Linked DNA regions of Lytechinus pictus. Each later gene encodes a partner of the first gene's protein in a complex. Links are inferred from orthologs where the notes say so. Each region holds a gene or a part of one and is shown on either strand. Other genes may lie near its edges. The genes, in order: phenylalanine--tRNA ligase beta subunit-like and phenylalanine--tRNA ligase alpha subunit-like.

Region 1 (15,645 bases):
CTGGCAGTCTCGCCTGCATTACGTTATTTGCGTTAGTATTATACCAGCAATGCTGACTTTCAAAATAGCTATTAAATAATTATTTATAAATGAAAACACTCATATGATAATAAAATACTATGTCCATTTACCCAACATGACCTGAAACTTAAACAGGATCTTTAATGATACACTATCACACTTATGTCCAAGTTTCATAAACTAAGTCCATACACTTTCGAAGTTATGACGACATTTCGTAAACTTAACCTTGGTTAAAATTTCGATATTGATTCCCCCAACATGGTCTAAGTTCATTGACCCTAAATGACCTTTGACCTTGGTCATGTGACCTGAAACTCAGGCAGGATGTTCAGTAATACTTGATTACCCTTATGTCCAAGTTTCATAAACTAGGTCCATACACTTCTAAGTTATGATGACATTTCAAAAACTTGGTTAAGATTTCAATGTTGACGCCGCCGCCGTCGCCGTCGGAAAAAACGGCGCCTATAGTCTCGCTCTGCTATGCAGGCGAGACAAAAATGGGTTTCAATCAACACTTTCCAAGATGTTACATGAGAGAATAACTGTTTGTATAGTACATTTCCAGTTGTTCAGTTGCTGCCAAAGTGTGAATAATTTGATAAAGGGCTTTCGTTTATTCATTACTCAATTATGACAATATATTGGCATTAAAAATCTAATAACAAAAATAATTTGAAATTCCAGTGTCTCAAAATTTGATACTCTTGAGATATAGCCCCGGAGTAAACACTGATCATGGGCCAATAGCATAAAACTTAGCGTTTTGTAACTTTGCTGTCCATTATAACCACCATAGTAAAACTGGGCAACTGGGCATAATAAAATGAATATTTCTGAGGAAGGCATCTTAATTGGCAAAGTTTCCCTAAAATGCATGTTTGATGCATCCAAACATAGAAATAGGGAAACAGCCCCACATCTTTCCCCTGCTTCAAAGACTGACCTGGTTTAGAGGAACAAACTTGATTTGGTGCGGGGGTTGAGCATCGAAGTAGAATGGCCCTTGGATTGTATCCAGGTCATGGGTTCCCATGGAAACCAAGCTTCTTTTCCTAAACGATAATCATGATATTGGAGAAAAGAATCAGCAATATGCTTGCATTTGAAAAATATGGGAGAGCAGTCCTCATCAGGGAGGGGCCAGGGAACAATTTCTTTTAAAGGGGGGAGGCAAAGCCCCCTAATTTTTTCAGTCAACTCTATTTTTTATGCACATAATCATCAGGATTCTGTATTTTTTTCCTCTCCCAATTCCTTTCTTCTTTCTTTCCCTTGGGGCAGTTATCAAATACTACATAAACAGCGTACAATGTGTCCTCATAAATGGGATAGCATTCTGGGTAGTCATCAACATATCACAATGACGTTACCTAGATTGTGATTACAGCTTTTGAAAATTCATCACTCTCACTTAGCTCCAACTTACCTTCCTAAATTCTGATGAAGTTTATCTTGAAGATCAATAAAGCTATCATAGGTATCTTTATTGAAGGTGATATTTCTCATGATGGCTGCAACAGCATAGGGCCTCACTTGAGCTGTCTATCAAGAGCAATTCAATGAGAGCAAAATGAGAAGGAAAGGGATGCTAATTATAATTCACAATTGAAAACAAGAGAGGTATATTAAAGGGTAAATAATTCAATTCAATTTTATTTTTTCTCTGCATAAAACGAACATATGATAAAATACACGAAGAACAAAGTATACATAACATCACAGATATAAGTTAACAAGAAAAAAAAAAGCATTGAAAGGGAAGCAGCCAAGGAGAAAATTTTCTTGTAATACAGCCGACCCAAATTACTTTAAAAAGAATAAAAATCATTGACAATATCAAAAGTTACAAAATATATAAAACAATTAGAAAATATTACAAAGGCATAGAGACACAAGTGGTAAAACATTAAAAGGGAGATTTGAGTGAGAAAACTATAGCAATAGGGAAATGTGTAGCCTGTCTTCAAAACAGAGCAACGTAATAAGATTTTTTAAAAATCACAGGATTTTAACAATACAAATTGTTGGATACAAGTCATCACGATCTGCCCTACTATTAGATCATCAAAACATTCAAATGCCTGCTAACACATCTAGTTTGTTTGTTATTGACCTACTGTAGATTTGATCGTTGTTTTAGCTTTTTGATTTACTATACTGTATATTTTGTATGGGATCACTGTTTTTTCAAGCCCATCCCCATTTTAATTGTATATATATGCTTTTCATTTTATGAAATTAAAATTGAATTGAATTGAATTAACCCCAAACTGTTATCAAATTAGTGAATTGTAATGAGTTAAGTTAACATTAGACTTACCGCTGGTTTAATGAACATTTGTTGAAGAGTTCCCTGTTTAGGTGAAATAGCCCTGTATCGCGGTGCTTCCATTTTTTGAAGGAAAACCAGTAATCCTCTGGAAAGGCCCTCAAGACAAAGTAAATCATATCTGTTTGAAAATAAAAAATATCATGGAAATAAAGATTCATTTTTTTCTGAAAGAAGAGAATTAAGAATATCTATGTAACTAACTACAATATGAAGCATGAATGAAAGTGAAGTAGCTCAATCTTGTTTTTCGTTTCTCCTCTTAGTCTTAATTCCCTCTTTCCAATATTATGGTCTCCTTAGGTTTTGCTTTCCTTTCAGTCAGTTTGTAAGTCCAATATTATGAATTTTGTAACAGGTAATTAAATTCATGCTTATCACTAAGGTTACAGAATTAATGAGCCAACTGTTTGAGCAAATTAAAGGTCAAGTCCACCCCAGAAAAATGTTGACTTAAATGAATAGAGAAAAATCAAACAAGCATAACACTGAAAATTCCATCAAAATCAGATGTAAAATAAGAAGTTATGACATTTTAAAATTTTGCTTATTTTTCACAAAACAGTTATATGCACAACTCAGTGACATGCAAATGGGAGAGTTGATGATGTCCATCACTCACTATTGTTTTTTTTATTGTTTGAATTATACAATATTTCAATTTTTACAGATTTGACAATAAAGACCATCTTGACTGAACCATAAAGTGTTTAAACTGGTAATTCCACATATTCAGGGAGGGATAAAACTTTGTTTCACAATCATATAACGAAATACAGAAGAAATAGTGAGTGAGTGATGTCATTAGTCCCCTCATTTGCATACCGACCGGGATGTGAATTTAACTGTTTTGTGAAATTAAGCGAAACTTAAAAAGGTCATAACTTTTCTATTTTATAATATCCGATTTTGATGAAATTTTCAGTGTTATGCTTGTTGGATTTTTCTCTTTTCATTCAAATCAAGTTATTGTTGGGGAGGACTTGTCCTTTAATCACAAGAAAAATTGGCTCATCATTATAAAAACAATCAGGTTTTTCTGACCTGTTTGCAGGTACATCAATTTTGTAGATGACAACATCTGAAGCTCCCTCTGCTTTATCTGTTCCTTGTTCCTTCTCTATCATCGTCTTCTCTGAGGTCTGGAAACAATATAATTTGTAGTATTAGAATTGGTTGGAGGTGGAAGAGATGCAGGAGGAGGAGGAGGAGGGGAGGAGGAGGACGGGGATCAGTGATAAGTGCTAGGAATGTATAAAGCAAAAGCATTTGGACATGAGCATGCATTACAAATGACTCTTGTTAAAACTGAATTAATTAGCATAGCAATTAGTGGTGCAATGCTAGGCTTTACTACAACCCATTGGATAATAAAATACGCAAACACTGTACTGTAGTTTACAAGTTCATTAACACCAGTCTAAATATTTGATAAAAAGGATAAAGATTAAAGGAAAATGAAACCTTTGAAACAAGATAGCTTTTGCAAAAACAGAAAAATCAAAGAAACAGATCAACAAAAGTTTGAGAAAAAATTGAATAGATAATAAGATATGAGCATTTGAAGTTTAGATCATTATTGTAATGTAGATCCTCCCATTGGCAATACGACAAAGATGTGTGATGTCACGTGTGAACAACTTTGCCATTACTTTTGTATATATATATATAACTTTCACTGCCTCTTTGTATCACATCTGGCAGTAGATCATGTATTCTTTCTATAGGAGGGCACCTAACACAGATTTTCAAAGAATACTTTATGGATAAAGAGTTTGTATCACCATAAGAAAGAGCAAAAAAGAGACATCTTGGGGGCATTTTATAGCCCATCAAAGGGAAAGTTGTTCACATGTGACATCATACATCTTTGTCACATTGTAAATGGAAGGATCTCCATAGCATTAGTAATCGCAATATTCAAATGCTCATAACTTTTTCGTTATTTGTCCGATTTTTCTCAAACTTTCTTTCATCTTATTCTTTTATTTTTTGGTTTCCACACAAGCCATTTGTTCCAAAGATTTCATTCCCCTTTAATATAGAGACCAACTTAAGAATAAAACACAAATAACAAAATCAAATTATTATAGAAAAGAGTAATTGAAAAAAAAATTACCACTTCATCAAGTTCAAGGCCATATTCAAAGCAGAGCTCATCAAATTCTTCATCAGCTGTGAATGTAAAGAAAAACAAAAGAGAAAAAACGTTAAAGAGTAGGGTGTTCATCATCCAGTGTATTGCACCTGCCGGTCCCTGGCGAAAATCTTCAGACGGTAAATTCAACTGCCATAATAATCAATACTACGATTGTATTTATAGACATAAACACAAGACAATGCAATGAAGTAGAAATCTATTAATCTTGTGCCTTAATTAAACAAAGTCAAAGCATGATAAATTAAGAAGATGTAGCCTCTAGGCCTAGAAAGACTTTAAAAACGGGCAGTGAAATTGGAAATTGGCATGGTACGAATTAGACCAAAAGCTTCGGTCTCTGTTATGTTGGTTGTTACGCTGAACTCCGTTGGCTCCACTCACCAAAAACAGAGACCGAAGTTCTAGCTCGATCTGTACAGGTACTCAATGGCCATATATTTATATATTAACTTAGGATAAAACAGGGAAGTGAAGTTGCGCGACAGCCGAAGTAAGTCACTGTTTTTTCCCCCTTTTAAGTTTATTTTTCTCTGTTTTGGTGCATTTCAGGCCAAAATGGAATAATAATCTTTATTTTGGTACAGATTTTATATATTTTTATGAAATAAAGACAAAAATCGATGAGCCCTGTCGGGGGGATTTTGCATTGTTAACCCCCTTATGGTGGCTGCACGATAGCAAGCCATCTGTGACTGCGTACGAGGAGAAGTATAAAATAAAATAAAAATGTAAAAAAGCTCCTCGAAACAGACGGCTGCCGGCTGCCAGCTGTAGCTGTCTATCTAGGTACGAATAGTACAAGTACGAGTAAGGGAAGAGGCCAGGCCGGGAGGTTTGCATAACAGCCACAGTCACAACTAAGTAGGTCTATCATTAGACAAGATCATTTCGAAACAAAAAAAGTCAGAACAATTAAAAATAAAAAAATGTTGTTCAATTTGTTGGCTGTTGCGCGCTTGCGATGTCGTGTTTGTACCGTTTCTTTTCTAGTATAGTGAGTGATTGTATTACCGACCGGCCTTGTATTACCGAACGCGCGCATTGACATAAGCATCAGAAAAAAAATTCATACATTCAAAATTTCGCAACATCCTTCCAAAAGACCAAAGAGAACTTGAATAGAAAGATGATGAAAAATGGTCAAAAACACATTTTCAAAGTCTTAATATTCTAAAAACAATAAAATATGGTCAAAATAGCTCATCAGTGATTTTGTTGTTTTCTCAACTTTTCCCATAGAAAACACACGTTCGGTAACACTCACACGTATTGCGAGGTTAGTATTAGTATACTAACCTCGCACCACGAACCGCGTTTGGCAGTGGATTTCTAACTAGTGGGTCGCGCGTGCTGGGATCTCACTTCTTGGGTCCACAACACATGACTTCTATGGCTTGAATTTTCTGTGCGCGGCGGCATGTAATGAACCCTTGGGTGGTTCGGTAATACTAATTACGATACCTTTTTCAAGTGACCAAAATATTTCACATGCGAAGAGGGGTCCGATTGGAAGCAAAAATCGTAAAAAGGAAAAACTATTTCGGCAAAAATTTTACATATTTATATTTTGTAGGTAATTGTGTATTCATGGTGAAAGTTTGGTGAATTTTATGAGAATAGTGTGTTTGATATGATTGAATTCATGAAAAGTGTTCGGTAATAGTAGTACGATCCACTACCATACTAGTAGGCCTAGTATTAATATTTTTTCATTGTTCTAGCTCGCTGGTAATGAATAAAATGGAATATTTACAACAAAACATTTATATATATTTTATTAGCTTTTATCATTTGAAAACAAAGCACAATCTGATAGAAATGCCACTTAAATCGTTAAAGTTTAGCGAGTGTGGAACAGATCCTTAACTAACACTAAAACGAGTACATGGGGCTACAGTACGAAGCCGTTGCGCTCGACTGGCGACACACGGTGGTTTGTTATTTTAATTTCTCTACTCACTATAAGTTCTCCCTAAAACCTCAAAGAGAAGATCCCTTTTCACACCAACAGTAGGCATTTCGATGGCAGATATTCAATAAATACCAGAGAAAGTCAATTAGTGTGATCCGTTCGTTCGAAATGATGCAACGTGTGGACGACCAGCCCCTTTTGTCTGAATATTTCGAGAACATTAATTAAAAAAGAGAGACCTATGCTACTTTTGAAGTAACAAATCTTGAATAAAATAATTATTTTCTTCAGGGCGTTGCACAGCAAGCATGCAATCATAAAGGTCCATGATGCAATCAAACTTCGCGTAAATCTTATGCATTATCAATTTCAATCATTGAGGCCTACAGTAAGTATATATATACGTAGAAATAATATCAAAATTCTTGTTTATTTACTTACTTATTTGTTCAGAGACGGCGAAGCGAAGTTGAAAGTGGGGGCACATGCAGGAAAAGGGCACTATCCGATGGGTAAGAGGGGCACTGATTCGAGTAAGGCCACTTACAACAAGGCAAGTGTACTCGTTAACGCCATAAAACGGGACCTTCTCAGGCTAGGCGGAAGGGGCACAGAACACGTTCATGAGGGGGCATTTTTCTTGGGTAACTAAGGGCACTTTTCAGTGCTTCTAGAAAGTGGGGGGGGGGCACTGTGCCCCCGGCCCCCAGCCCCCAGGATCACCGCCCCTGTATTTATTTGTTTTTTTTTATTTACCCAGGTAACAACACCGGTGAACTATACCCTTTAAGCACTGTTTTTCTTACATGGGGCCCTGTCATGGGCCTTCTCGAGAAGAGGTTGTTTCTGTTGGCCTATTCATTTTCTGATGGGGTGACGCTATCTGAGGGCACGGGTAATCCCCCTATTACTTTTCAAGATAGGCTTAAAGGGGAAAAAAGGGGAGGAAGAAAAGGGAAGAAGGAAAAATAAAACTGTCGAAAATAATCCCTGTTAGGCCCTATATAGCTGAGGAAAAATGAGTCACCTTTGACACGGGTCGTGTTAATTATTTCAAGGAGGGGCGACGTTAGGCCTACTGCATCCATAGTAGTATCCTATTTAATTTGGATGATTTCCAGGGGGGGGGGGGGCAAGTCCATCACGAGTGGATACCATGCGTGACCATATGGTGTTTCGAAACTCACCCTAAACAAGCATTTTCCATGTTCTGAAAATGCACCCCTTATAACAAGTATTGGCGTGTGAAACTCTACCCTTAACAAGTATTGGAAACGCGGTACCCTTGTCAAGACTTGTAGTATATTCCCTGAATTGACCCCCCTAAACAAGTACAACGATATCTTAAAGGAGAATGAAACCCTTGAAACCAGCTGAATCTATATCAAAGAGAAAAATCAAAGAAACATATTGTTGAAAGTTTGAGCAAAAAGAGATGTTTTGGGGTATATTTTCAGTGTCCAAAAGGGGAGAGTTGTTCATCTGTGACATCATAGATCTTGGTCGCATTGCCAATGGGAGGATCTCCATAGCATTAGTGATCTCGATCGACATTCAAATGCTCATAACTCTTCTATTGCTAGTCCTATTTTACTCAAACATTTGTTGATCTTATTCTTTGATTTTTCTGCTTTCACAAAAGCTAACTTGCTCCAAGAGTTTCATTCTCCTTTAATTGTTTTGTCACGGACGTCGGCTTTACCTTTACTTTCATTGGTTTAGTACCACGTACCCAAACACCTCGCTCAAATCGGACCCTAAACAAGTAGTGTTTGGAAAAAATAAATCCTTTATATAGGTCTATTTTAGTCATTTCATACCCTCGCAAATTGGACCGTAAACACGTATAGTTTTCCTAGCGAAATATATGCCCCATTTCATTATTTTAGTGTTTTGACACCCTTATTACGTTTCGTACGTAACGTGGCCTATCTTGAAAAAGAGATCCCTTTTCCGTGTTTTTTTTTTTGCCTCACACATGGTATCCACTCGTCAATGGAAGTGCCCCCCCCCCCGGGGGGGATGATTTCACATTTTCCACGAGAAATAAAAATCAGCTCTGCATCATTCGAGAGGAAAATGTGATATTTCATAATGAAATTGAAAAAATAATTCATGACTGTGTGTGTGTGACACCTTTCAGTCTCTCTCATTGCGTATCGTATGTGATGCAATGACGAGGAGGTTCTCCGTGGTCGTAGTAGCTAGCTCCATGATCACACATTCAGCGGAAATGAATGTTGATGTGACTGAGTGGTACAAAATGGATCAGCGCCACCTTTTGTCGGCCTGCAAATTATTCACTTGGTCATAATATGGACCTACTATGCTCATAACTACAACCGGAGTGCATTTTCAACATTTCCATGTTCTTCCCCATGGTAAGTTCTTCTTCAAAACTGAAACTTCGTTTCACTGCCATTCCAAAAGGCATGATGATTGAGACATACTTTATTTTTGCAAAGTCGATTCCATTTTATGAAATCAGACTTCCAAAAAATGGGGGGCTGGGGCTATAGTGAGTTCCCATCGTTAGAAAGTCTTCTCTGCCCCCTCTCTCTCTCTCTCGGGGGGGGGGGGGGGGGCGTGTCCCCCTGTCCCTTCTGGATTGACACATGCGTGGGTCTACCCCTCACGGTGTTAGCCACTCCTCCGGGGGGGGGGGCACTTCCATTGACGAGTGGATACCATGCGCGACCATGGGGTCTCGAAAAGCACCCTAAACAAGTTTTTCCCATATTCTGAAAATGCACCCCTCAACAAGTATTAGCCTGTGAAACCCAACTCTTAACAAGTATTGGAAACAAAACGATACCCTTGGCAAGTATTCCCTGAACTGAAACCCTGTGGAGCGTTGTGGCCCAGTGGATTACTCTTCTGACTTTGAAACAGAGGGTCGTGGGTTCAAATACCAGCCATGGCGTAATTTTCTTCAGCAAGAAATTCATCCACATTGTGCTGCACTCAACCCAGGTGAGGTGAATGGGTACCTGGCAGGAATTTATTCCTTGAAATGCGTGTGCGCTGTAATCTTAGTAATTACGGCTGCCAAGCTACAGCTGGGGTAATAATATCCAAGTCCTTTGGAAGCGCATAGAGACATTGTTCATAATGTGATATGCGCTATACAAGAACTGTATATTATTATTATTACATAAAAGCAGCGATATTTTAATTGTTGTATTCACTGACGTTGGTTTTACCTTTACCTACATGTACATCATTAGGTTTAGTACGGCCCCACCTCCCACACCTCGCGCAAATTCTAAGGCTTGTTTGAAGGAATTCACTAAGACCATTCGTATTTCACTATTCAAATGATGCGAGCGCGAAGCGCGAGCTGAAAATTTTGATATTCGGATCAGACAAAGGGACATATAAATGACTGATTTTAGGAATTCATGAAGAGCAGACATACTTTCTCACCAATCCACCAATGCGAAGTTAAGCACGGAAGGAAATGTTTTATATTAGGACCTTAAAATGGGGCAATCACTTTATGTAGCATATGTCACTACATAAAACAATAATAATAAAAGTGCGAGGAAATATATTTGGTGTATATTGACTTGAAAACGGGATGTTTTAGTACAACAGGATTATACAGGTCCATGGTTAAACAGACAATGCGAGCACCAGGAACAGTGAAGACATGGGCCCTGAGCAAATTATGTTTCATAAAGTTATAAAAAAATGTTTCTTATATAATATAACATAATTATAATATAATATTACAATAAACAATTTTTTATTTCCCACTACGTTTCTCTTCCTTTCTCCCTCTTTTTCTCCTTTCCCCCGTTTTTTTTGCCAGCCGATTTGGGGAGGCACGTGCCCCCCATGCCCCCCGTAGTTACGCCATTGCCTGCTTTTATTGTACTTTTTAAAATATGGACTTTAATTGATTTATATTCAGGACCGTAGTCTTTCTTGAGGGGCGTCCTTTTTCAAGAGTTTGTGCTTATGACTGTCCCCTCCCATGCAATGATTGTTTATTGTTATTTTACCGTGAAATATTGTCAATATATTTTATGTTGTATGATCAATTTTTTGCATGGAAATAAAGAATCAATCAATCAATCAACCCGCATTTCATGTACAAGTGTTTTAAAGCTTACCACAGGTGCTCATTTTCCATGCATTTATTTCTCACAATTTTCTACGGTATGATATTATCCTGCTAAATGCTTCTGTATTTGTTTTCTTTTACAGTGGTCACGAAATGGTTTTTAAATTGGGAAGGCCGGGGGGTGAATCGAAATAAGGACTGACCAGCATGCCAAAAAAAACCCAACACACAATTAGATGGCTAGAATTGGCCACTTTTACGTTTCGTATATTAGTTATATAAAAAAAAGAGTGGGGAGGAAAAGGGGCTGAAGCTCCCCCCCCCCCTCGCTCCCCTATGGTACCGCACCCCTAGATATGTATACGCGAAATGTTTGTATTTATGATGAATGTACTATAAATATAGTCGAAGAAGGCGAAGCCTCATATCAAAGATGGATTTGCATTGAGTCACCGGAGGAGTGATTTTCCTTCTCTTGGATAAAAAATATAGATATTCTGAATACAGTTTAATCAAACCATGGACCTACTAGTAGGTCCATGATCAAACTAACTCAGCCTAACCTATAACCCAATTTTCTACAGATTCTAAGACCATACCACAGGGTGTAAACACAGTAATTGTAAGGGCTCCCAATGTTCAATTCGATAAGGCAAATGCACACTATCTCTATGTAATAATGACCCGCAACATGCACAAGGTCGGCTTCTAATATGACCCCTATTTTAATGACGTCAAAGATCAATCGACATTCACGCCAGGGTGAAATGAAAATAGAACATGCTGGAACGGACTTATCGCGAGAAAGTGAGAAATGTGGAACACATCTCAATTTTCAAACGTCTAAATATGTAATGTTTACATCTAAACAAAAACGTTTCCAAGACTCAGTTCTTGTTCTCTTTGAAAAGCAATATCAACAACAACGAACTCTTCGACTACGACAACGTCCTTTTAAAACCAATCCTTATTTCTTTTCTTTTTGAAGAGTTTATTCCTCCTTCATGTTCTCGTTTGTAACCTGATTAGGCATATATTATTGTCCTGTGATGGGTGATAACTAAACGGAATGGACCCGACCAGTGGCGTTGGCAAGATTTTTGAAGGGGGGGGGGGGTTCAAGATGAATGAAATGTTGACAACCAAAACAAAATAAAAAAAAAATGGTCTTCACCACAAATTGTAAGTCGTTTCGTATCCCAAAACAAAATTGACAAGCAGAAAAAAAAATCTTTAACAAACATTTAGGGGGTGAATTCTTAGGGGGGTGGTTGAACCCCTGTAACCACCCCCTGCGTTCGCCAATGTCTCCCGACAAACTTTGATTTATAAAAGGAGAAACTCGTCGTTCAATACTAATTTTTCACTGAATTTGTAAGACAACAATATTCAATTTTGTTGATCACCGATAAAAGTGAAACAGTTTCCGTTAGTTGTTGATCGCTGAATATCTGAAAACATTCCCTCATAAATTAATTGCTGTATGATCATCTGCACGGGCGGGGGGGGGGGGGGGGTAGATTTCCATCCCATATGATATCGAACAGATATTATTCGAAAAGTATCAAAAGACATATATAGAAATGACAACACATTGCCCCAAGCCTCCTGAAGTTCCACAAACTTTCCATTTCAAATTTTACTTCTAAACAACGTCTGCTATATAAACAGAAGGAACTTTAAATTATTTCCGCCTTTTCTCTTGTCACACCAATATACTTCCCCTTTTCACGAGTTAAAGTCTGCCATATTCAGACGATCAGTCTATTATGTTGTTGATGTAATGTCATCTTGATATCCTTGATTGATATACAAGATGATCCGGGTCATACGACATGAGAAGCCAATTCGGGGGGGGGGGGTTCAGGGAGAGGAAGATCCCCCCAAAATATAATCATAAAAAACAATAACAAAACGTAACAAAATAAAAAACCAGAAAAACAAACAATATCGCATTATATTGAGGTCGGTTTTTTTACTTTGGAAATATGATCCACTTTTGTTGTTTTTTGCCAAAGATCAATAACTTAGCTCTAAAAGGTAATTTTGTAATTACATTATTTGTTTATCTTGTTCTATTATTTATGCAGAAAATGATGGCCCTTCTTTGGCCTGATTTTTGACAATTGGTATCGTGATAAACGCTATTGACTCGTTCTTATTGCATCTATTTTCTACATGCTCTTTGTATTTCCCCTTTTACAAAATGTTGTTGTAAAGCCCCCATCCCTAAAGTCCCATAATCTTATGAACGTCCTTTCATTGTGGAGTTCATAGACGGTCACATGTTCTCTCCATCGAGACACTCTCTTTCCTTGAAAGCCGGGAAAACAAGAGTTGATTCTCACTCAAGCACGTTTCCACTTAATGGATTGCGAGGGATTGGCGATGACAATAATTTGCATGTATACATGGAAATGACTGTGAGGGCCCGTTTCCACTGCCAGGTACATTGACTTTCTACAATTGATGGAATATTGTCCGTTCCCGGGCTCGTTCGGCCTTTCGCACATATATAAATTAGAAATTAAGGTTCGCTGTGCAGAAAAAAAAATCAATATACTTTCTATGAAGTAATCAAATGGGAGGGGGGGGGGCAACGCCTTAACTTACTCTGTTACCAAAAACCACCGATACATAACATACAATATGGTCATATCTGCCTGATGGTAGTGCAAATTTTCTCCTAAAATCAAATGCATGTGATTGTCAATAAACCTATAAACTAAAAAAAAATCCCACAAAGCCAGGGGTGTCCTCGAAAGTATATTGTCTCCCATATGCTGTGTGCTCACTCTGACAAATTCCCGTGTAATATAAATTTTCTTAATCATACCAATATACAATGATCATTTTCAAAGTTCAGAAAACGCGCTTTGTGCGGGAAGGGGGAGACAATTTCTACACATCCACATCATGATTAAATCAAGATTACGAATTTACATAAATTTCTAGCTTATCAGGGCGATGGAAAGACCCAAGACGTCTTATTTTGCTTGAAATGGTATGGTTCTGCGCTTCGCGCGTGAGCTCCATGCACAAATCATCTATGCCTTTGCACTAGCACCGCGGAGGAGCGCGCTTTTTGTGCTCGCACTCACTACGCAGTATGAAATCGCTGCAATAATTCATTGTTTCATGGAGAATCAAACTTCACGCTAGGAACCGACATAACATTTTCATGGATAATTACAAGGATTATATATCCCAACATAATTTATTTGATTAGATGTCCAAACATTTGCGACGATTAATAAAGACGATGTGGGATCGTCGAAAATATGTGGACATTAAATCAAATAAATTATGTTAAAACAAACATGAAATTTTCTATCTTGATTTGATCATATATATTTATATCTGAGCAATATCACAGTCACACAAACTTAGCTGATATAAGTCCGATCAAGGATTTATTGAATGGCTTTGGTCGGATGAAAGCTGGTTCCGTTGCTGTGACTTCGGTGTTACAAGTCTCCACAATGCATGAGAAATTACTACCTGGGAAATTTTGTCTTATTCTTCAAAGTTTAGGTTCTATTTGCGTATTCTAAGCTCATCCTTTAAATTGCTGAATAATGCCAATACATCTCTGATCGTATAAAGAATACTTCCGCAGTGAGTATTGCTTATTACTGCAGAGTCTCTGTATATTTGTCATGTTTATTGTCCATCTAACTAAAATAAAAGGCTCTTGGATTACTCGGCTAATTGGAAAGCGTTTTTGTGTCCCCAATGATGAAAAGAAGATATTTTTACGCAAATATTATTCCATCTTACATTGATGAATACACAACATCCATCCATCTATCCCCGTGAACTTGGTAAATGTCATTGACATATTAACCCAAGCTGCATTTCTAAAGATTCTAAAGATATACTGTCTTAAACATGATAAAGTATCCTTCAATTCAGTTTCAGATGAACAATGCACTAATCACGCTAATGGAGACTGCGTAAATCAAGCGTACAGAGGTGCAGGCGACACAGAGTGTCTTTGGCACAATTTCATTCAGATAGATTTTCAAACAAGAGCTGTAAATGAATTATACTTGTAAAAATAATTCATATCCATTATACCAGTAGAAGGAGGGGGGGGGGAGGAGGAAGAGGAGCAGTAGTATACAGTAGCAGTAGTAGTAGTAGTAGTAGTAGAAGTAGTAGTATGATAGTAGTAGTTGTAGTAGTAGTAGTAGTAGTGGTGGTGGTAGTAGTAGTAGTAGTAGTAGTAGTAGTAGTAGTAGTAGAAGTAGTAGTAGTAGTAGTAGTAGTAGTAGTAGTAGTAGTAGTAGTAGTAGTAGTAGTAGTAGTAGTAGTAGTAGTAGTAGTTGTAGTAGAAGAAGAAGAAGAACACTGCAAAAACTTCGGTGTTGATTTAACACCAGTCCGGAATCTATATATATGTCCACACCTGAGAAGTGTTAAGCAACACCAGTTTTGTTTTGGTTACACTTCGTAATTCCGAAGGTTCGTAATTCCGAAGGTTCTTTATTCGGAAGGTTCGTAATTCCGAAACACGTAAATTGCCTATACCTCGATGTTCGTTAATCCGAAAACGTAAAAGGGTTCGTTAATCCGAACATTTGTGGCGTTATTCCGAAGGTTCGTTATTCCGAAGGTTCGATAATCCGAAAACGAAATAAGGTTCGATATTCCGAAGGTTCGTTAGTCCGAAAACGAAATAAGGTTCGTTGTTCCGAAGGTTCGTTAATCCGAAAACGAAATAAGGTTCGTTGTTCCGAAGGTTCGTTAGTCCGAAAACGAAATAAGGTTCGTTAATCATTACGTTTTCGGACTAACGAACCTTCGGAATTACGAACCTCATTTCGTTTTCGGATTAACGAACCTTAGGAATTACGAACCTCACTTTGTTTTCGGACTAACGAACCTTCGGAATTACGAACCTCATTTCGTTTTCGGACTAACGAACCTTCGGAATAACGAACCTTCGGAATATCCGAAACTTCGGAATAACGAACCTTCGGAATATCCGAAACTTCGGAATAACGAAGCTTCGGAATTACGAATGTATGCGGTTTAGGTTATACAATTAGTATTAAAGACAGCATCGGTTTGATTCCAAACTGGTGTTGTTTCAATACTTCTCTGGCATGTCTGGTGTGGACATTATATTCCGGGCTGGTGTT
Region 2 (16,079 bases), on another chromosome or scaffold:
TAGCGTTCTGTTTTTTCTAACTGTGTTAGAGTGCATAGAAACAATTTAAAAAGAGGAATTGTTTTACTATATTTGCATGAAAAAATGAAATATTTGCCGTATAGTATTATGGTATTTACCAAATAAAAATGTTCTCTTTCCAATGTTCCAAAACAAATTTCTAATTTAGATAACTTATAAGAACGGATATTTTTTAAAGTCAACCAAGTACACAAATCGTTCCAAAAGTTCGAAACAAATTGGCATTCAAAAAACAGATGCATCAATGTTTGATTTTGTTCTTTACAAAAATCACATATGTCTTGATAAAAAATTCTGATTTTATATAAATAACGATTTGTTGACACTTTTCTGTGTATAAATTTAAATTGGAAATTCCTTAATTTGTTATCTATTGACGATTTGTATATCAGGGTAAAACGAGAATTCCAAATTTCATTATTTGATCATTGCAGTGAAAGGTTGTTTTCCCATTTGTAACGTTGATCTGTCTCTGACACGTCCAAAGTATAATTATTTATAAAATGAGAATAACACAATTTAGAAACTTTTTTGTGTTTAAGGAAATTACATAATCGATCGTCGTGTGGTTCAAAAGGTGTATTCTGTTTTATGTATTTTTTTCTAATAACTCTTTTCCATTCATTTGGTATGGCAGATAATAATGAATTATACATCATGATGGATGTGTAAAAGTCCATCTTCTGTTAGAAAATCGTAAATAGTGTTTAAAGAAGATTCTGACCATCTTTGAATATAAAGAGGTTTTCCATCAACTAAAATGTGTGAATTGAACCACAGAGGTTGCGACAGTATTTCCTTAAACTTAACAGGATTATAGTATCCGTAATATGACCATGAACTCAATACATCATTCCAAAAAGTTTCGGTACATGGATTGAATAATATATGACTTTTGCTAATATTCCAAATCGTAAATTTGCTCTCACCAATGAAACGAACAGATTCTTTAAAAAAACACTTCCATTTCCCATTGTTATCATCATCTAAAAATCTTTTGACCCATGATACTTTAAGTGCTTGATTAAAACATGACAAATGTAACATTTTTATACCACCATCTTTGTAGTCATTGTATAAAAGAGAACGCTTAATTTTATCACCTTTTTTACTCCATAAAAAATTAAATAATAGCTGTTGCATTTCGATAAAGAAGGTCGGTCGTGGGTCTGAAATAATGCTTAAAAGATATATTAGTTTTGGAATGACCATTGTTTTTATTACTACTATTTTTCCATACAATGTAAGAGATCTACCATTCCAAATGTTTAACAGAGATTTGATCTCATCCAGTTTTGGTATAAAGTTTAAATTAAAAAAAGTATGTTTATCGCTTAATGGGATTTTTATGCCTAAATAAGAAAAATAATCTACAGGCCATTGAAAAGGAATGCCTTGGCATAAATACATCGTACAATTCCCAAGTTGAATAACATTACACTTTTCAACATTGACTTTCAAACCAGACATTGCTTTAAAAGTATTTAATACAGATATGGGCTATTCCACGGTTACTCATGTTACATTTGGAGACACCTTGACTCATACTTGGAGCTGTAACTCCATTATTATTAATAGGAACTACACATCTCTTTATTACAACATAGTACGCAGTCTGACTATCCTTTGTATAAAAACAAAACTTGGGAAATTTCATTATGCTCCTGGCAAATCTTTGAAATGTGTCGGTTACTCATGTTACATGATTTGGACATGCATAAAATGAAAAGTGGACATAAGTGAAAAGTGTCCTCATGCAAGGCTTTTATGAAAGTTGATTATATCCATTTTAAAGAAGTATATTAGAGAGACAAATTTGTATATAATTAAAAAAATAAAGAACACATGGTTTTTACTAGGGGTGCAGATAAAGTGGTTACTCACGTTACGGTTCAGATGGGCTATATGTACAAAGACACATTGAGCTCATGTCCACCAACCTATGGAATTGCCCATATGCATTTTCTTAAGTTTTGTTCGTTGGGTTCAAGGTAAATGGTTGTGTCGTCTGCGTATTGATTTATTTTTATTTCGGTATTATCATATATTTTTAAACCACGGATTTCTTGATTTTCTCGAACTAAACAACCTAAAATTTCAACAACTAAAATAAAGAGATATGGCGAGAGCGGGCAACCTTGTCTTACTCCGCGGTGTATTTCAAAAATATTTGAGGAATAGCCATTATTTATTACACAACCTTCAATATCAACATAAAGAAGTTGAACCCAACGAACAAATTTTTCACTGAAACCGAACCTTCTTATAGTTTTGTATATAAAAGACCACTCAACTGTATAGAACGCTTTTTCAAAGTCAATACAGAGTGCAAGACCGCCAACATTGTGCTTTTTGCAATAATTTTGAATATCAATAAAAAGTCTTATTTCGCCAATATAACGTCCTTTGAGAAAACCACATTGATCATGATTTATGAGAGGTGATATTACTTTTTTTATTCGGAAAGAAATTATTTTTGCGAGAATCTTATAATCACTATTTAATAAAGAGATTGGACGCCAATTTTTCAGTAAAAGTAAATTTTTCCCTTTTTTAGGCAACAGTGTAATAATACTTCTCCTCATTGAATGAGGTAATATATTTTTTTCAAAACTTTCATTAAAAACTAAACATAGTAAAGGATTTATTTCATTCCAAAAAGTCTTGTAGAACTCAATTGGCAACCCGTCACTCCCTGGTGACTTGTCATTTGCAAAAGACATAATCGAATCATAACACTCCTTCTCTGTTATCATTGATCCCAACATATTTATGTCACTCTCATTTACAGTTGGTATATTTAAGTTTTTCATTGATATATTCCTATTCAGAATGTTCTCTTGAGATGAATACAAATTAGCATAAAAGGTCCTTTCTTCTTCAAGAATATTTTTTTAATTAAAAATAATACCTGTATCTGTTTGGAGCCGAAATATACATTTCTGTTGGTAATTTCTTTTTTCTAAGTTTGCAAAGTAGTTGGTATTTTTCTCTCCCTCTGCGATCCATCTCACTTTCGATCGCACGATTGCCTGTTGCTTGGATTCGCAGAATCGACAGACTGCGTTGAATCGCTATCCTTGAGTTGTCGTAGCGGTGAAGTGCGAGGTGTTGCTATGTGATTACCTGGGGGGCGTTTCATCAAACAATTAGTCGGTGGTTTTCTCCGACTAAATGTGATTTTCACCGACTAATTTCAGTTTCACCGACAATTTTGCCATCACCGACTAAATTCCATTTCATCAAAATTTGTCGGTGATTTTCTCCGACAAATTATTGGAAACCACCGACTAATTTTGTCGGTGGCCTTCACCTACCGACAAAACTTATTTTCACCGACTAATCAGCCTTTTATGGACTTTAGCAGCTAAAATTTATCAATTTCAGTTGATTTTGAATATAACATTTTAATAAATTGCTTATTTTTCATTTCATTAAGAAAATTCAAAGAAAATGTATTTATTTTCAGTCAATGACAAATAAAAAGTAGACATTTCAAGCATCATATTTTTATCTTTAAAGCTATATTTTCATAAATTAATTGATACAATTTGATAGGAAACACCTTCAAATGTACACATTTTTAAAAACATTTATGTTCTTTTCTTCAACCCGAATAAATCATTGTGCATTTTTTAATCAATAATGTCTGAAAATGTCTGTGACCTCATTGACTTTTGTACAAGTTTTTCAATATTCATTAGTGTTGTTGGTGTTGCTGCTGCTGTTGTCATCGTGGTTGCTGGAATTTCTGTTGTTTTTGCTGCTGCTCTTGTTGTTGTGGGTGTGGTTGTTGCATCTCTTACTGCAGTTGTGGTTTCGGCTGCTGATGCTGTTGTTGCTCCTGCTGCTGTTCATGATTATTGAAGTAACTGAAATGGAATTGATTTATAGAGCATGTGATATTTTACTAATAAAAGATATTAATTTCCATCATTATTTATATCAAAGTCATTTATTCCTAATTTAATTATCATTGTTAAAACTTAAATTTTTAAAAAAATTGTATGTTTCAAATAATAACTTTAAGTTCTAAATGGTAAAAGTATTGTCACCAAAGCCTTATTAAACAACAAAAACAAAAAAGTTAAACAAAGTAATGCATAAGAAAATTATTAAAATGTACATGCATACACAATTGATTTTAATGACTTTGGTTTTTCTCATTGGTTTACCAAAGAAATGGAGTCAAAATCCAAAACTATCACATTTGGTCTTTATTTCTTGATTTAAAGCAAAATGCTGATTTCATGCAAGAGTCATGTTATAAATAAAAAACCAACATCATACCTGCTGATTTCTGAAGTGAGTGCACAATCAACAGGCAAGATCCTGGGGCACACCCCCCCCCCCCCCCATACCAAGATCATTTGAATTAGTGAGGTTTAATGACTGCTTCTGTAGTCATTACATTTATCTGATTTATACAGGCCTACAAGAGATATAAAAGAAATTGTGTTCTTTTTGGGGTAATCTTCCGGTGTTCCTCCCTGACAAAGCAGATGGTGATGGTGTGTGTGTGTGTGGGGGGGTCTAATATAAATGCAGAACAATGGAACATTCATTTACTACTTTGGCAATAGAAAGCAAGTCACACCATCTAGCATTGATTGATATTGTTGTTTTACAACTGTCCAAGAAATATCACCATTAATAATTTAAGCATCTAAGCACTTATAGATGTCATTGTTTTCAAATATTGACTGGTAGAAGACCAATTAAAGAAGAGAACAGTACCGGTAATTTAATTTTCTTTTAATGTGACTTTACTTTCTTCGCCAAAATGAGGCAGTAATAATTAAGAGTGTTTTACCTTACAAGTGACATCACATTTCATGCCTTCTTGTCTTGCTCTCCTAAACCTTCAACCATTTATACTTTGGTAACTTTGCATCTCATGTCTGTCTGAAAAGTTTGGGTGAAGCCTCCACCTGAAGGAAAAATAGCATTGAAATAACTAATTAAAATATTTGCCATAATCGTGTATTTCTTCTCACATGTATATGTACATGTCTAAAACAGGAAATAAAACATCTTTTGATAACCATACAGGTTTCATATAGAAGGGGGTAAATAAGGGTTCAAGTTTTTATTATGTTAATTAAAACTACAAACAATAATAAATGACATGCTCTGGCTGAGAAACTTAAATAGAGAAATTATTCCTCACAATGTAGCTTGTATGTACATCCCGGGGGGGCCACTTACATTGACGAGTGGATACCATGCGCGACCAAAAAAACACGTAAAAAGGATGTCTTTTTCACGATAGGGCACGTTACGTACGTAACGTGATAAGGGTGTCAAAAACACAAAAATGATGAAAAAAGGGTATCTATTTCGCTGGGACAATTACGTGTTTAGGGTCGAATTCGCGGGGATGATAAAACAAAATTAAAATGTTTTATAAAGATGTCCTTTTTGCCCTAACACTTCGTGTTTAGAGTCCAATTTGCGCGAGGTGTAGAAGGTGGGTCGTACTAAACCAAATAAGGTAAAGCCGACGACCGAAGGACCCGTAACAATAAAACATTCATGTACTTGTTTAGGGGTTCATTTCAGGGAATATTTGCCAAGAGTATCGTTTTGTTTCCAATACTTGTTAAGGGTAGGGTTTCACACGCCAATACTTGTTAAGGGGTGCATTTTCAGAATATGGAAATTACGTGTTTAGGGTGCTTTTCGAGACCCCATGGTTGCGCATGGTATCCACTCGTGAATGGAAGTGGCCCCCCCGGGATGTACATACACATGAGAAAGTAGTGATAAATGGATTGAGGGGTGAGAGCAGGGGCTGCGGAAACGGGGGGGGGGGGTGCATGTTAGCTGCAGGGTCAGCGGAACAGTTTCTAAAGTGAGCGAGCTGACCATGCAAAACATCATAACCAAATGGTCATTTTACATTTTTCAGCCCCCACATTGTTTTCCAAAACCATGTACAAAAATTCAAAATTGACCATCTGCTAATGATTTTTTGCATGGTCAGTCCCCCCCCCCCCCACTTTCGGCTAAGCCCCCTCACTTTCAAAACCGTTCCGCTGACCCTGCAGCTAACATGCAAAACATATTGATTATTTTATATGTCTTTCATGTTTATGTAATGTTTGCATTATAAACTGACTTTAAATAGAAAATCTGATTAAAGTCTGATTTCATTGTCATTGATGTGGGTTTTAATGATTTAACATTCTGCAACCCAAAAAATATCCATTATTTTGTAATCATTATCGCATTTTACTAGTCTACATGTTACCTGTGGTTGCATTTCAATCTCAGTATTTCTTCACCCACTGCCAAATCTTCTGCCACATGTTTATCAGATTGGCCGCTGGCACATTCCTTGCTGTAGTAGACCAGTCAGAGCCTAGCTTTCTAGTTCCAGACCCGTCTCCTTCTGCATATTGTTAAAATGTCCATAGTCTGAAATTAAAATATTAATAATATCACATTGATATACATGTAGCAAAGAAATTATGTAGATTTACACAGTGATCATTGAAAAATACTGCACTTTCAATGAATATTGTTGACATTTCATAAAGGGGAATGATCAAATATACCAATCATTTTTCTTCTTTTATTATCCTGAAATTTATAGAATTTACCAAAAAACGGTCAACAATTTATCCTTTTTAATTCATATAATTTTCAATTGATTATAAACAAGACGGTCATTAACACATTAACCATACAAATAGTAAAACAGTTTTGTCAATATTTTTTTAAAATTCAAATATAAAAAGATTTTTTTTTTCTAACCCAATAGCGCTTGGATACCTTGCCGGTTAAAAGCCAAGATAAAATTAATAAAAAAATATGAATAGGCTCCTAATTCATAACTGCAGCAAATTGCATCCCCATCAAACCGTCAACTATTTCTGGACTGTGACCTTTGTTCAAAGGAACTTTAAAATGAGATTCAAGGCAGAAAAATACTTGGGATTGATGAGATCCATTACATATTCTCCTATATTTTTTTTCTAATGAAGAGACCTTTAACCTTTACATGCTATTTAAGGTTGGGTGTGACTAGACTCTTTATGTGGTACGACTTTATGTGGTACGACAATATTTTTCAAAAAATAGATTAAGAGACATTATCAACAATAGTTTAATTTATTTACCCCAATAACACTGATGCTATTGTAGATTCAGTGTCAAAATTTATAGGATGCTAAATAGTAATTTGTTTTAAAAAATGACTAAGATAAATAAAAGCAAAACAAACTTCATAATCGCACACAAATGAGGAGCATTATATCGTCTCCCCCCAATTTGGACAATCAATCTTTTTTTAAAGGGAGCTATGCAATGGCTCATTTCACGTGGGTGTGCAAAGTCAAAGAAAATTTAAGATAGATCTAGGTCTACAGGCTATACCAGTATGGCCACGGGCCGGGTGCACCATTTAAAACTTGGAAGTTGGATCTAATTTTTTTAAATAAGTCCTAGATTTCAATTCTTATTGGGTGTGAACGCACCTCTCCGCTCTGCCACAATCGCATCACCCCCCCCCCCCTGAATCCTTGCCAGCTGTCGAGAGCCTTCACTTCATTCGACTTGTGACTTGCTAAGCCTATGCTATATGATAAATAAGTTGAGAACATCCAATTTACCAAATTACCACTCAAGCTATTACCATGTGATTTAGCTCCTGTTCAATTCCAATATCTGTAACACAGAATTGGGATGGCCCCATTGGATATGTGTACATTAACAATTACACACGCTGGTTTGCCTGGTGATCAAGGATATCTCCGACCACACCGAGCAACAAAATCAATACAAAACCAAAGGAAATTAAAAATTATGATATGTAACATAGAATGACATAAAGGTAGAACAATATAAAGTATTCTCTTTGCAAAATTTATAAAATTGCAGCCATGTGCGGATCATAAAAACGTGTATGGACAGCCGTGTCGTTAGTTTGGTCCTGAGATAGTTCTACAGACACAGAAACACGGGTATGGGACTAGACTGGATTATGTGCTGTCAAGTTTATCAATCGTATCGACAGGGGTCCTGCCAGAAGATTCTCTTTTCTTGTAATTCATTTGATAATTACGCACAACGAATAATTCAATCACCTTACATACAATATGAACGACATTTTGAAGGGTTTTACTTACGGTAAAATCCTCATTCACCTCTTCGGGGACCTTCGCTTCTACTTATTTCTTCGTTTCACTTCGAATCGTTGCGGCGAAAACATCAACCAATTTTACATCTTCTTCACAACTTTGGGAGTGGGCGTGGCCTAATTAGTCAGCGAACCTCGTTCAAGACGATTTGTAAAATAAAAATTCACTGACAATAGTCAGAGAAGCTCCGAGAGTTTGATGAAACGAATTTTTGTCAGCGCTGACTAAACTGTCAGCGCTGACAATTTTAGTCAGCGCTGACAGTTGTCGGACGAAAATATTGATGAAACACCCCCCAGGTGCGCGGTTGTTTTGTGGGCAGGCATTCTTCATTTGACCAGCGTTTTTACAAAGGTGACATTTTACATCATTGTGGCATCTGGATACATGGTGTCCCGATTCAAGGCATCTGGAGCATGTGACTGGGCCAGCTGCACCGGAGTGTTCGGGTTGTCCAAGATGATACACGCGTCCCATGAAGTTGGTCCCGAATAACATTTTCCTAGGCAACGGTTGTGTTGGTGGGGTAATGTATAATATCCGATCTCCGTTTAGACAATTTGTAAGTTGACCGTTCACTCTCAGTTTTTGGCGATAGATATCTCCTTGAATCTCGCATTTCCGGTTTTCTATCTCACTGCGTATGACTTCGTCGCTGACAGACAGCGGGATATCTTTCACGGTCACTCTGGTGAGGTTTTCGTTCCTAGACCTTGTGAAAGGATTCACATCGTAGATTGCGACGGTTGCTCCGCGGATTACCAGTCCATTGGATATCAAATTGACGCGGTCTTCATGGGAGTTCAAATAAATTCTCCATAAACGGCGAATTTGCTGTATTCCCACTATGTTGTCTAGACTGAGTGTTTTGGCTAAGGCAACGTATTTTTCCTCACCTGTGACATGTTTCTTTTCGTCATTCCTGATATCATCCACACGTAGAAAAATGGGCTTGGGGCCTTTGGGCATGTGTGTTTCTGGGCGTGGCGTTGCTTTATGTGCATATATAGTGCGTGTGTATCCTATACGCATTCAGTGTCACATACGTCAAACAGTTAAACTCCCCAAAATATATGAAAATACGTAGCCAAAAGATCCTTAAAACCAAGATAAGTAATATCAATGATCCAAAACAGTTCCGTAGGCTAAAGATTACAAACTGATGGTTTTCCAATTTCGCGATATTTCCAGATATTAATTCCGTAATGGAGAGGATGCTAGAGTGATGTCTTAACACCTCGAAAGCGCCCTCTATATCGTCATTACCTAGATGATTTTTGTTGTTTTATTCTGATGTTTTGTTGTGTTTTATGGGAGGGTGCAGGAACTTTGTTGTGATACATAATTGTAGATCACGTCAAATGATATAGAGTAAGAATAGTTGATTCATGGTTTACATTAAAAGGCATGTAGCCATGTAATCAAATATGAGCTGATATCATCTTTTAGTAAAGACTGAAAATACTTTTAGTACCTCCATTTATGCCTGTTTAGAAGGACAGCCCCAATTAATTTGAATTTACCCTTTTCTTTTATGACACCTTTGTTTTGTTTTTTCATACTGCCCACTTCAAAGTCTTTTACCATCAGGCTCAACGTTCTCTTCTTTTCCCAAACCATGACCCATAAATTCTGATTTATTTTTCACTACCCTTTCTACACTTTGTTCCAGATCCATCGTTAATCCTTACCTATTTCTATCAAATGTATCAAAAAAGTTTTAAAATCCCAGCATTTTTTACTATTTTTTTCCTCTATTACCTTTTTGCCAAAAAATGTTTATGGTTTTATGGGGAAAAGAAACCCAAACTTTTTCGCAAATTACCAGTAATACTCTACTATCTATTGCAGTGAAAGAATGAATAAGAGTGTTTCCCCCCCCAAAAAAAAAAAAAACAACAACAACAACAACAACACATATTTAACTCTTAGAATATTTCAAAGCTGTATATATGTGAGTTTGGCATTTCTGTGTTACTTTGATTTTGATTGCATTATTATGAATTGATTAATGGTAGAAGACTGTTCCGAATGCTAAAATAGGATTTAGCAAGGCAATGTCGGCAGGATGGTTGGAGGTCAACAAGAAATGTCAAGGTGGTCCAAGAGTTCTGAGAAAGGTAAGCAAGATCGACAAAGATTAATTGATATGTTATGAATAAAGATTATTGTTGAAGAACTGTTCCCACTAGTTAGATTTAGCAAAGAAATGTTAGTAGGATGGCTTTGGTCAATAAGAAATTTGAAGGTTACAGCTCTAGGTCAATGTAAAATTTAAGAAATATGGAAGAAAAGTGTTCCTATATGAATAAGCTATGCTATTTTGACCACAAGATTGGGTATTCTGGAGATGAGTTTAATAACGTGGCACAGATTTACAGAGAGAAATATGCTGTGGAAAAAGGGGTCATATGCATTTGATATTATTGCAGAGAAATGATCCCACTGCAAAAAAGGATTTATGAAATATTGACTGATAAGAGGTTAATGAATGTAAATATGGTTCTCGCGTACAGAGTAATATCAACAGAGTTATCAAAAGTTCTTGGGTTGTTGTCGTTACGATTGGCACAAACTTAGTAAATAATAATAATAATAACAGATAGTTCTTGTATAGTGCATTATCACCTTATCATAACGTCTCTAAGCGCTTCTAAAGGACTTGGATATTACGTGTTGAAGCGTTTCAAGGAATAATTTCCTGCCAGCTACCCATTTACCTCACCAGGGCCCCATTGCATTAAAGTTACCATTATGGTAGCTTTGCCATCCAATGGCAACTACCATGGTAACGCTGATCAACAACCTATCAAAATCAAGGATTCGATACGAGTTAACATTGGATGCAACAGGGCCCAGGGTCGAGTGTAGCATAATGTGGATCAATTTCTTACTGAAGGAAACTACACCATGGCTGGGATTTGAACCCAATGACTTTCAGTCTCCAGCATGTGGGGAGATTAATCAAGGATTTTATGAGTTGATAATCATTTATTTTGAACCATGAAAATTTATCAGTAATGTTCTTCTTTTTTAGGTCTCCTCCATAGAAGATAAAGTACAGTTACAGCTCCAACGAATCAGACAGGGGAACGTAGAAACAATAACAGATAAAGAGAGGGCAGAACTAAAGAAGAGAAAACTCATTACTGAAGTGTAAGTTTTATTATTATTATTATTATTAATATTAATATTATTATTATTGTTATAAATATTATTATTATTAATATTGTTATTGTTATTATTATTATTATTATTGTTATTATAATTATCAATATCATTATTCCTCTAAACAGGATCAAGTCTGTATTTTTTCTTGAATAACTTTGCTCTAACAAAAAGCACTAAGTAATTTCAAGTGCAACTAAGAACTTTTTACTACTAATGTCCAAGAGTCTTTCTTATCAATCTGGTTGTACCCAATATAGCTGCCTTCTGAATGTCGTACATCAGGAGATGAGGAGAGATCTTGGTTATGCAGGCTTCCATTCCTCTCCAATATCATTATTATTTCATTATTGTTATTGTTATTATTATTATTAATATTATTAGTAGTAGTATTGTTGTTGCTGTTGATGTTGTTAATACTACTACTACTTCTTCTACTACTACTATCATTATTTTTATACACCCATTTTTTGTTACTTTGTTGTTGTTCTATTGCTTATACTGTTATTTTTTTCTCTGTTTATATATATATTCACAGGACAAGAAATACTTTCTTGATCAAGAAGGGAGAAGAGTTCAGCACAAAAATTCAGAAACCAGAGACCGATCTTACTCCTGATATGATCATGAAGTATGTGAGCGTTGACATTGTAGTGATCTTAAAGCGACCTTTCATTGACAAATCCTGGGGAAATCAAGGCTTATCTCAGAACAGAGAAGGGATTCAAGTCTTTCACTCGGCTGCATGCCTGGGGGTGTTATGTAATAGACGCCGGCATGTCTGGGAGGTCTATAGGAGAGCAATAATTAGTAGATTAACCAAACAGAAGTAAACTGCATGTTTTCACTTTGAAACATGTAACTTCCAGAGGTTATTTATTTTGGTTTACAATCAAGAGACCTGCTATGAGTCTAGGAATTGGGATTGTTGGAAACTGGAACTGCGATGATCCGAAGTAAATAACCATCACGGGTTCTATCAGATTTGTGCTGTCCGAACTTTTATCGCATTAGTCCGACGGGTGCTCATGACGGATGGATTATATTATGCAAGTCAATTGGCCTTTTGAAAATTTTGTATTGATTCAATTTCCCCATGATTTGTCAGTGGCTGGGCCCTTTAAAGGGGAAGTTTACCCTGAAGAAAAATTTATTATAAATTTACCAGAAAACAAACAATATTGGTGAAGGTTTGAGGAAAATCCATCAAAGAATAATAAGAAAGTTGTGAGAATGTTAAGTTTTTGATTTGTGACGTCATTTATATGTGCAGCTTACCCATGTGTTATGGAAGAGTGCATAAATTTCAATTAGTTGATGGTTCATGATGCCTTTCAGGAGCTGGTGTGAAATCATTTGTCTGTTGGTATACTGAAAGTGCAATATAAACCATTCTATTATCAATTTTAAGGGAAAATTACATTTTATTGATTTTTTACTACACAATATATGGGGAAGCTGCTTGCATATGACATCACAAATTGAAATATTAAAATTCTAATAAACCTTTTGATAATATTTGTTCTATGGTGCCTTCAGGGGTCACATGGTATTATGTCAAAGGTTATGACAGGCCATACATTATTGTATACCTGCAAGCCTCTCTTCTGACAGACATTTCTACTTATTTTTGCAAGAGAGCGAGGAACGGAATCGCTAATCCAAATCGAAAATCCATCTTTTATTGTTCGAAACAGAAATCCTCTAAATATTTGTTTTGCCCAATTAATCGTGGGCCCGGCAGCCGCTGTGCAGCACCAGACCGATGTAGCTCTATCCTTTTTATTTGTTAACGCCAAACAGGGTAGCAGCAACTTCCATCTTTTAGCATCTTTTGGTCTGACGCGGCCGGGGTTTGAACTCCCGACCTCCCGGTTGTGAGATGGATGCTCTACCATTCGAGCAAGACATCGGTTCTAATGCTTTTTGATAAAATTGTTGTATTCACAGAGGAACATGGAAGGATCATAAATTCAAGGATTATAACTTTGAAGCTCTTGGGGTCACGATCCCGTCAGGTCACCTTCATCCACTTCTCAAGGTCAGGTCACAGTTCAGACAAATCTTCTTGGAAATGGGGTAAGCTGCTTTTGGGTTCTGTTCATTGGTCAGAATTCTGAAGTTGAGTTTAATTTAAAAGCTGGTCTAAAGTTGTGGTTTAAGTATGGATAGCAAAGTTTTACATAAATCTAAAAAAGAGGTTGATTGTATCAGTTCATTTTACCTCAAATCATTTTTAATTGTCTTGAAAGGACAAATGAGAGAGTTGTCATTATCATTAAAGAATTGAGAAATGGCACAATAAAGATAAGAAACATATTAAACAAAATTTAGACATTTTGGCTTCCCATAATTTTAGCACAGAGTTAGACCATAATCTAATTTAAATCTAATTTCAGAATACAGGCCATTGAGTTTAAAGTTAATTTTGATTTTATATAATATAAGTAATTTTATATGATATGCAATCGAATATCTGAAATTGCAATAATAATAATTATACTTGCATATACATGTATACTGTTTAACACTTACTTTATCAGAAGTCTTTTAGCCCTGCAGTAATGCAGGATAATTAACCTGGCTTTGGCAGAGCAGCTGTTACTTGCGCTGCATTTCACCCATTCACCTCACCTGGGTTGAGTGCAGCACAATGTGGTAAATTTCTTGCTGAAGGCAAACACACCATTGCTAGGCATCGAACCCACGTCTCTTAGATTTAAGGTCAAGAGTCATAACCACTAGACAACGACGCCCCCACACTTATTTCATACTTAATCCCATTCTTTGTGTAAGAAATTGTAACATTTCATGTACACATGCATGATTATTGATAACCCATTTTTATAAGCTTTCCTTTTTCCACTCTCTTCTTGAACCATGACTGTTATTTATGTTTAGGTATGTCCCAGGATATTAATTTTGTTTGGTATATATTTTGATATTTCAGTATGGCTGAACTTACTCTGTTATCATCAATTTAATCAGCATAACTCACCACACATTAATATGCTAAACATGAAAATTTCAATCTTAATTTAATTCAATTCATTTTATTCAATCATTTAAAAATCAATATACAAATCATACATTAATGTACAATATAGTTTAAATGATTAGGGTGCCCCTAAAAGCAAAAGCTTGATGAGTGGGACACCCAATACATAATATATAAACGTACATAAAAGTGAAAAAGTGACTATTATAAATACGAACAATACATAAGAAATAAGACAGTAAACCTACAGGGGAGGGGGGGGGGTCAGGAAAAGGGTGTGGAAATGAATTATGTGATTAATTGGCATACATAAATACAAGTGAACTTTTGAGTTTTGTTTTAAATGCAGTAACATTTGTGCTAGACCTTGTTCATTAATTGAAATTACATATTTGGAGATCTGCATATTTGACTATGATGCATTCCTGGTAGTAGCCATATTTATTCCATATGTGTGCAGGCAGAGAGAGAGAGCAAAAGAATATATAACAACAAAAATACCAATTTATTTATATAATATTAAGTTTATTGTCAAGATGTTCAGAAATTTGTTAAAAATCAGTTCATGCTGTTTAAAAAAGTGAAGGTAATATCATGCATAAGATGCTGATTTGTATGAAAATAAGGAGTATATTTTTGTTGAAAATTTATTCCTTCCAAACCGCTTTTCTTACGATGTTTCATCTCTCATTTGTAATCATAGATTTACCGAGATGCCCACCAATAATTTCATCGAGAGTTCTTTCTGGAACTTCGATGCTCTCTTCCAACCCCAACAACATCCAGCAAGAGATAGCCATGATACATTCTTTATCAAAGGTAATCTTTTTTTTAATGTCTGCCTGTTTTTTTGTCTGTTTATTTATCTGTCTGTCTATCTATCTATATATCTAGCTTTTTCTCTCTTCCAATCTCAGCAACATTCAGCTAGAGATAGTCAGTCTATATGTCCTCCATCTATCTATCAAGCTTTCTTTCTCCTAATCTCAGCAACATCCAGCTAGAGATAACCATGATACAGTGTTTATCAAAGGTAATCATTTGTAGTAACTGTAACACCCATGTGAAAATCCTAGGTCCATCAAACTTGAAAATCATTAAGTACATCTGCTTAAGGTCAATTACATGACATAACAGACATCCTGAAATAATTTGTCTCTGGTTCCTAGTTGAAATTAAAAGTTTTTATGCTCAAAAATACAAATTATCATGACTTTAGCACTTCAAGTGAAAAGGGAAATGGAGGTCAGACTTACCAATTTTTTTTAATTATTTTATGGAATTACCCCATTGCATTGCACAGGCAAGGTATAGTATCTACAGGCAGAGGTGTATATAGAAATCCTATGCCTAAAGCTTTTGACCCTTCAGAGCCCTGAAGTAGGTATATTCGGTAGATAGCTGTTAATATTCCATGTTTTATTTGTTGGCAGATCCTGCTAATGCCACGCAGTTTCCCATGGACTATCTTGAGAGGGTAAAGACAGTACATTCCAAGGGAGGCTATGGCTCACAGGGGTAGGTCATGTTTAGTTTAATTTTGTTTTTGTTTCTGTTTATGGTAACTCCCATAGGAACCCGACAGGACAGCTTTTGGCTGGTAAACGCCAAACTGGTATATAACCAATTACATAGGAAACATTTACGTCTTAAGTTTAAAAATCAGACATAGTGGCTGATGTTATAGACGACAGATATTACTCTCGGGTCTTTTATTAAATCAAAGTGGACGCAATGGCAGAGCAGGG

The links.
Region 2: the proteins of phenylalanine--tRNA ligase beta subunit-like (region 1) and phenylalanine--tRNA ligase alpha subunit-like are in contact, whole or in part, in a crystal structure (PDB 3L4G), measured with the Homo sapiens proteins. The link is inferred for Lytechinus pictus from reciprocal best matches to the Homo sapiens genes FARSB and FARSA. Residues at the interface, in NP_005678.3 of Homo sapiens: Glu26, Phe29, Gly32, Leu33, Pro68, Ala69, Asn70, Ile150, Arg152, Asp259, Thr261, Lys262, Arg305, Lys316, Lys317, Val318, Gly319, Ile359, His360, Cys362, Asp363, Glu366, Ala369, Ile370, Tyr374, Asn375, Ile377, Gln378, Met379, Thr380; in NP_004452.1 of Homo sapiens: Ser221, Gly222, His223, Leu224, His225, Leu227, Leu228, Arg231, Ser232, Arg235, Leu239, Gly242, Phe243, Thr244, Glu245, Pro247, Asp249, Asn250, Phe251, Ile252, Glu253, Ser254, Phe263, Gln266, Gln267, Phe277, Phe278, Leu279, Arg280, Asp281.

What each region holds. Positions count from the first base shown.
Region 1 is NC_087258.1:12,215,922-12,231,566, reverse strand, and holds the start of phenylalanine--tRNA ligase beta subunit-like, read right to left. Parts: upstream 6,652-15,645; 5' UTR 6,536-6,651; coding exon 6,478-6,535; intron 4,532-6,477; coding exon 4,476-4,531; intron 3,499-4,475; coding exon 3,401-3,498; intron 2,478-3,400; coding exon 2,348-2,477; intron 1,570-2,347; coding exon 1,454-1,569; intron 1,080-1,453; coding exon 971-1,079; intron 1-970.
Region 2 is NC_087255.1:20,704,826-20,720,904, forward strand, and holds the start of phenylalanine--tRNA ligase alpha subunit-like, read left to right. Parts: upstream 1-10,187; 5' UTR 10,188-10,222; coding exon 10,223-10,285; intron 10,286-11,202; coding exon 11,203-11,321; intron 11,322-11,871; coding exon 11,872-11,964; intron 11,965-13,283; coding exon 13,284-13,412; intron 13,413-15,034; coding exon 15,035-15,150; intron 15,151-15,764; coding exon 15,765-15,849; intron 15,850-16,079.